Linked DNA regions of Canis lupus familiaris. The main gene of each other region encodes a partner of the protein of the gene in region 2 in a complex. Links are inferred from orthologs where the notes say so. Each region holds a gene or a part of one and is shown on either strand. Other genes may lie near its edges. The genes, in order: EXOSC10 and DIS3L.

Region 1 (3,815 bases), on a different chromosome or scaffold from region 2:
AACCACCACAGGCCTTACACCCGGTGGGCCAACAGGACGGAGCACTCTTCCCCTGGAAGCTGCGGTCCTTGCGACTGTCACATTATCAGACCCGCTTCTGTAAACACCATGTGGAAGCAGCCACCGGGCCTCATGCCCACCCCGAGCACTTCCTACCCCGCTCCCTGCGGAAGCACCATCTGGGGGAATGTACATCACGGGTCCCTGACCCTATCCCCCAGGAAGAGGCCAGCGCACGGGGCGGGGGCTGTGCTTCGCCCCTGTCCCGCCGGCACTTTGTGGAACAAACAGAAGGATGTACGAGGCCCGTCCTCCGACAGACACTCCGATGGGCTCAGTCACAAGAAATCGAGTGCTACCTGTTTGCTCCGCTGCCTTCTCCTTGGCAGTTTCTTTAGGTTCTTTGTGTACCTGTACCTGGCTTGCCAGCTTCCAACGGTTGCTGATCTACAATGAAAACAAACAAAACAAAAACACTCCAAAACTCAGCCACCCAGGAATGCTTTATTTTTTTAATGAGGCGATGCCGGGCGTGCTAACCTAGCAGCCACGCACACTCCAAGTCACAGATTCCAAGTCTGAGGACACAAAAAATAAAATCTCATGCTGGCTTTTATAAAATACTGATCAAGAGGACAAAGCACCACAGTATTCCCAGCACAGGGCCGGACACCTTCCTGCTCATCCTCTCATCCAATCCCTTCTATGATCCCGGGAACAAGGCATTATCGTCACCCCCACTTTGAGACGGAAACAGGCTCTGAGAAGCTACGTCTGACGGGACACGGTTAGCAGACGGTAGAGCTGGGCTCCAAGGCAGGACTTCTCAGGGCGAGAGTGCTGCCGGGATACCTCACTTGGCTGCGGTGTTAGAACGCATCTCAGATACGACAGCTGGCGTGGGAAGGTGTGCCTGGGAGCGGGCCACAGCCAGCGGGGGAGAAAGGAGGCAAAAAATCCACTGGACTCCCCACCGCTAAAGACAACAGGCAACAGGCTAACACTAGCGACAGGAGGCCTGTGCGGTTCCGCCTGCGCTTGCTGCCTAAGGAGAGAGCGCCGGGCAGCGGGGGCCAGGCCCACCCGACCCGAGCAGGCACTTCCCGCAGGAAGGCTAACGATTAACACGCGGGCTCCCAGGAACATCTCATGGGGCTCCAGGGAAGGGGTTTCCTTATTCTTGTTCATAATGCTGTTAAAAACAAACCAACAACGGAAGACGGAGTGTTTTAAAACGTAAGCTGTCACCTGTGAGAGCCCTACAGTAACACTCGAACGTCCAGCGGTACGCCCAACACAGAACGCCTACCGCACGTAGGCTAAACTTCAATTAAAAGCCAAACGCAAAAACCAAAGGCCCGTTCAGGTTCCCAAATGCTTCTGAAAATCAGAATAAGGTTCTGGCCCCCCTCTCTCAAAACATTATCGGGACACCCGGGTGGCTCAGCGGTTGAGCAACCACCTTTGGCCCAGGCCATGATCCTGGGGTCCCAGGATCGAGTCCCGCGTCGGGCTCCCTGCAGGGAGCCTGCTTCTCCCTCGACCTGTGTCTGTGCGTCTCCCTGTGTCTCTCATGAACGAATAAAATCTTTAAAGTAAAAAAAGAAACATTGCTTATATATGTCTCTCTATATTTATACATGAAGTGTCCTTTGTATTCCTTTTCAGGAGGTTCAGGATGGGCTTAACAGAGACCTGGTTCAGATAATTAAGGAGTCCCCCCGTCTTAGAAAGTCCCTCTCGGAAAGGGTGACAAATCCACTTACTTCATAGATTTTTGACGAAGGATCAAACTTTGCTGCCTGAGAAACGTGAGCACGGTGTTCGAGGGAAGGCAGGAACTGGAGGAATGGAAGGAAACAGTCACTGAAACGCGCGCAGGCCCCGGACGGGGTTTCCTGTGGGCTGCACGTGGGAGGCCTGGTCCGTGCGTCGGCCCAGGCCACGGCTCCCGGACACCCGAGAGGCGTCCTTGCAGCTTTCGTCTTAGAGGACCCCGACTCTGTCCCAACCCGGACACCAGGCGCAACCGACACGCCGGGCTCAGAAGCTCCCTCTCCAGGACCGCTGGCCTTCCTTTCCGGGCAGGAGGCCCTACGAGCCGCAGAAGGCTGGGCCTACCGTCAGCCCCGGGCGTACACAGCGCTCCCTTACCATCTTAAACGGATTTTCGAAGGACTCCATTATGTTCTGGGCTTTCTTCTGTGCAACTGTTAATGGGCTCTTCCCGCTCTCTTCAGCACTGGGTTCCTGCAGGGACGGGCAGAAAAGGACCAACTTATCACCGCGACCGCTGTGTGGCTTCACGACGCAAGCCGCAGAATCCTCGTGGCGGCAGCAGAACAACCGCTACTCTTCGGGCCTCTCACACGTAGGGGGCCCTCTAGCAGCGTGGGCCAGCACGCAGGAGGGCGTCTTAACACATTTATTGAACCAGCGAATTCTCAGGGTGCCCTTATAACATATGAGGTATGTGGTATTATTCTCCCCACCTTACAGATGAGGAAACTGAGGCACAGTGTGGTTATGTCTTGCAGAGCCTGAGAGCTAACGGGGCAGGATGAAGACTGAAACCGGGTCTGGGTGGCTCTAGAACTTGAGGTTGTAAGCAGACACTTGCAAATTAAAAATCAGAAACCATTATGGGGAATCAGTAAAATCAGGCAACCGGGTGTTGCTTCCAACTGGGTTCAGAACGTGCTTTCCTTCTGCTTTCTCCGTGGCGACAGTCCCGCCACACAGCACAGGACACCCAAGCACAGCGCGCCCATGCTCACGCAGCCCAAAGCTCATGCTTGTATCTTTAGGGGCCGAGTCACCTCGTTGGCCCAGTTAAAGCTCGCGGACTGCTCTGCTCAGGAATAACCGAAGCAAGACCCAATCTAAATGTATGTGATAAGTGGGGAAAAAAAGTTAACTCTCGGGTAGTACATTTGCAGGTGGCATTTTGCCTTTCTGGCTTTGGCCCCGCGCTCTGGCACGATGGACCAGCTGTGACCTGTGATCCTGGAACCTACTGAACCACCAGCTGTTTCTCCCATGAACACGTGCTAAGCTGGATACTCGTCTTTATCCATACAGATCGTATGCTTGCTTCTCTTTCTTTCCAGAAATTGTGATTTTTCCTTTAGCACATCTGTTGTTTGCACTATTCAGAGTTTTATCTGTGCATTTTCCTTTCAAGCTGGTCATTTTAGTATCCACCCATCTTGACCAACAACTGCACCCTGGTCCTCCTCTTGTAAGGAGCCCGTAGTTCAAGCCCTGGCAGAAACAAGACAGACACCCGCTGGGTAGGACAGACTGGGACAGGCTCCGTCACCACCCGCTGCCGAGTGCAGGAGCACGGCTGGGCCCAGGTTGGCCACACGCGCTCCCGGACCAGACGGGGCCACTGTCTACCATGACGCAGCCCCTCTTTGGGATGGGAAACACATTTCTACCCACGTGCTGGTGCCTTCGTATCTTGCTCTTCACTGTCCCTACTCAGCCGCGCTGTACAGAAATGCTTTTCAAAGCCTCCTCTTTTTCAGCCTGAGCACGTGTAGGAGGCGCTGACTTGTGTCATTAAGGGACGCGCAGCCCCGTTGAGCAGGGGCTGAGGATGGGCTGTGCCTTCCCTGCAGCTGGAAGGGAAGGTCCTGCCTCTATGTCACCGCAGCCCACGCCCTCCTCCCGACTAGGCATTAGCCGGCGTCCAGATGTCAACCCTTCTTCGGGGGTTTCTTCTCCTGAGAGAACCCTCCACCCGCCTCTCATGGACCACTGGCAGATCTGTCCCCATGGCTGTTCCCACTGCTGCTGGCTTTTACTTC
Region 2 (3,815 bases):
GTATCACCAAATGCCCTTATTCTATGCTGTACAATAATGTAGCCACTAGCAAACAACAGGAATTAAAATACAGAGCAGCTTTTAAGACAAAGATGTAATTACTCTAAAGTGGTGTTGTCAGTAACAGATATGTCAGGTGCAAAAGAGTTCAGAGAGCAGGTATGGTGCCATATTTGTTAAAATAAAGCATCGTCTAGAAGGGTGAATAATGGCTATCTCTGGGTGGTAAGATAATAATTTGATCTTTTATGTTTCTACATTTTGGGAAAAACATCTAACTCATGGTTAAATCTCCTAAACCCACATTAAGTGACTTCATAATATTTATAAATGTATTGAGAGCTAGACAAGAAACTTTACAGTTTTTCATGTTATCTCAATGGTTAGAATAATGCTAGAATTTAATTCACTAGAATATATGGTACTTTTTTCTACCATACAAAAAAGCTGATATATTCTCTTAGGAAAAGAGATGATGGATAAGAGAATTTAAAATCCCTTCTTACTCGGTTTCTGTTGTTGATATGTCTGCATAATTCCTCAAGATCTTTGTTGCTTAACAAATTGTCCTTAATTTCCATTTTCTTATCTTTTGAAATGGCTGCCATTAATAATCGGTGTACTACGATATCTGAATATCTTCTTATTGGAGATGTAAAGTGGGTATATTTATCTAATGCAAGGCCTTCAAAAAGAAACCAAAAGATGGAAATCAACAAAAAAATACACTTTTTTAAACAACCTGCTCAAGGTTATGGCCACACAAAAGAAAATGCTATCATTCACCATAATGATGGAACTCTTCCTCCGCACATGACCCCGTGGAGAAATACAGTGCATTAGACATGGCCTGTGTGGCCATGGATCGCAGCAACCTGTTTACAATGGGATCGTTGGGGTCATTTGCATTATCCAGAGAATCAGCCAGTGTTTTATTGGACCTGACAAAAAAAAAAAAAAAAAAGAAAAGAAAAACAGGAAAATATTAGTCCCCAGCAACAATTTGCAAGTCAATGCGCTCAGAGGGAAATCTTTCACTCATCACTCTGAAGAAATTTTATTTTGGATATGTTTTAGAAGCAACTCTTTTCAACTACAGAAATCTAGTTTGCTTTTGAGATTTAAACAAAGTAAGTGGGGGCGCCTGGGTGGCTCAGTGGTTGAGCAGCTGCCTCTGGCTCAGGTCGTGATCCTGGGGTCCAGGGATTGAGTTCTGCATTGGGCTCCCTGCAGGGAGTGTCTCTGTGTGTCTCTCATGAATACATAAATAAAAATCTTAAAAAAAAAAAAAACAACAACGAAGAATCTTTATACACCTAACAGCATAGCTTTGAAATAAATAAATAAAATCTTAAAAAAAAAATAAAGTGTATCAATTTAAATACATTTCTGAAGTATGTACTGATACCTATGTGGTTAACATCCAGCATATAGTAGGTGGTCAAATACTTGAAATAAAGTATTGAAATAAATAGGATTACTTGGTGTTTGCCTGTAGGGTTATGAATTTAAACCAAGGGAAACAGGTTCCTTACTTCTGCATTACAAATTGTAGGAGATCAAAACTATGCCTAAATAAACTCACTTTAATTTTAATCTCTATACCTACATTATGGTAAATGAAGAGAGCCAAGAAGCTTTCTATTTTTGGTCAAAGATCTGACTGTCACATTTTAAGAACTACTGCAAGATAAATAAGTGTGCAGCACTCCTGCCATTGCTCTGCCCCCTCAGAGGAGTTACCGTGTATCTATGAAGAAGCCTTTGGCTTTAGCACATTCTCGCAGTTCAGAAAAAAATTCCTGGTGTGGAGGAGGGTGTTGGCGCAGCAAGGCCTGATGAGGGAAGCTTTCCCAGATTTTCCGGGCTACCCAGTGGTTGGCCAGGATCATGCACTCAGCCACGGTCTCATGGACTTCCAGGGGCTGCTTGGGGATGAGGTCATGGATGTTCTTTTTCTCATCCAGCTGAACACGAACCTCTACCCCCTCCAGCTCCAGGGCACCACAACGGTCTCGCTTAGCTCGGATGTGACGCGCTATGTCCGTCAACTTTCCAAGGGCCCACACTAGCTCCTCTAGCTTGGCTTGTCTGCTCTTCGTGTCCAGGTTTTTGAGTTCTGGAATATCCTCAACCACGGTGACGTTTCCATCCAGCAGTTCCTGGGCCGCTTCATAAAACAGTTTGTAGGCTGATCGGATGATGGTTCTGCCGAACCACACGTTCTTAATTTCATAGGAGGTTCTATCCAACTCCCAGATCACACTTACAGCATACCTACAAAACCAGTAATGCTAGCATTATCACTCCATTCTTCCATTTTTGAAGCAAGGAGAACTAGACCCTACATGTGACTTAAAAGAAATGACAATGCTACAGGTTTCTGGACCAATGTCTCAATCCAAACATTCCACTATTTACTACAAAACTATTTAAAATTAGGGATCCCTGGGTGGTTCAGCGGTTTAGCACCACCTCCGGCCCAGGGCGTGGTCCTGGGGTCCCCGGATCGAGTCCCACGTCGGGCTCCCTGCTTGGGGCCTGCTTCTCCCTCTGCCTGTGTCTCTACCTCTCTCTCTCTCTCTCTCTCTCTCTCTCTCTCTGTCTCATGAATAAATAAAATCTTAAAAAAAAAACTATTTAAAATTAAAACCAACTTTAGGTTCTGCTGAGCTCTGAGCAAATCTGAAAGGAGTTCACATGTAATGTCACACAGGCTATCTTACAGTTCTCCTGTTTAGTTAGACTAGCATAGCACTGAGAGAGCCACGTCTGGTGGGCTCTTTAGTAAAGTAGAAGAAAGCAAGCCTTTCAAATCCTATAGAGTAACACTGAATTATCATATCGCTCTCAACGGTAGTTAATTAGCAAAAAAGTGTATTTAGTAAAGAACCACTTTGCCACCAAATCACTGTTTAAAAACATACGCAACATTAGCAACTCGTATAAAAAAACAAAAGGTTAATTTTCCTAATATGTAAAGAGTTCTTATAAATCAATTACAGAAATGGAGAACTCAAAAAAAAATGGGAAAGGAACATGAAATAGTTCACAGAAAAGGATACATACATAAATGACTGTTAAACATACACAAAAATGCTTAACCTTATTCATAAAAGGAAAAATGCAAATTAAAACCACCTAAGTAAGATACCATTTTCATCTCAAATTGGCAAAGATAAAAAATGCAACATGTGTTGGCAAGACTTTTGGAGAAAGCATTCTCACACATTGATGGTGGGACTGTAATTGGTGTAACCCTTATGGAGGACAATTTGATTACATCTATCTAAACACAAATGCATTTATCCTTTGACACAGAAATTCCACTTCTAGGAATTCATCCTCTAAGCATACTATACTTTTAAACATGTGCAATGACCTATGTTCCATGTAATTCGGTGTAGTTTTGTTTGTAATAGCACAAGTCTGAAAATAATCTAAATTTCCATAGACAAGCAACTGTTAACGTGGAATAGTCTCCACACTGTATTGGTTTTTTTTTTTAATTTTTATTTATTTATGATAGTCACAGAGAGAGAGAGAGGCAGAGACACAGGCAGAGGGAGAAGCAGGCTCCATGCACTGGGAGCCCGACGTGGGATTCGATCCCGGGTCTCCAGGATCGCGCCCTGGGCCAAAGGCAGGCGCTAAACCGCTGCGCCACCCAGGGATCCCTCCACACTGTATTGTTAAGAGAAATAAAAAAGCTGCTGAAAGCATGCACGCGCACACACGCATATATATATTATATAAAATGTCACCAGTTGTGTATGAAACAGAGACCATATGTCCATTTGTGTGTATATACATTA

What was found.
Region 1: DIS3L (region 2) and EXOSC10 share a complex: the UniProt entries of both Homo sapiens proteins name them as parts of the RNA exosome complex. The link is inferred for Canis lupus familiaris from reciprocal best matches to the Homo sapiens genes DIS3L and EXOSC10.

What each region holds. Positions count from the first base shown.
Region 1 is NC_049223.1:84,430,664-84,434,478, reverse strand, and holds part of EXOSC10 (exosome component 10), read right to left. Parts: intron 2,251-3,815; coding exon 2,155-2,250; intron 1,842-2,154; coding exon 1,767-1,841; intron 448-1,766; coding exon 360-447; intron 1-359. UniProt on the Homo sapiens protein: Catalytic component of the RNA exosome complex which has 3'->5' exoribonuclease activity and participates in a multitude of cellular RNA processing and degradation events.
Region 2 is NC_049251.1:31,063,124-31,066,938, reverse strand, and holds part of DIS3L (DIS3-like exonuclease 1), read right to left. Parts: intron 2,278-3,815; coding exon 1,744-2,277; intron 942-1,743; coding exon 787-941; intron 686-786; coding exon 507-685; intron 1-506. UniProt on the Homo sapiens protein: Catalytic component of the RNA exosome complex which has 3'->5' exoribonuclease activity and participates in a multitude of cellular RNA processing and degradation events.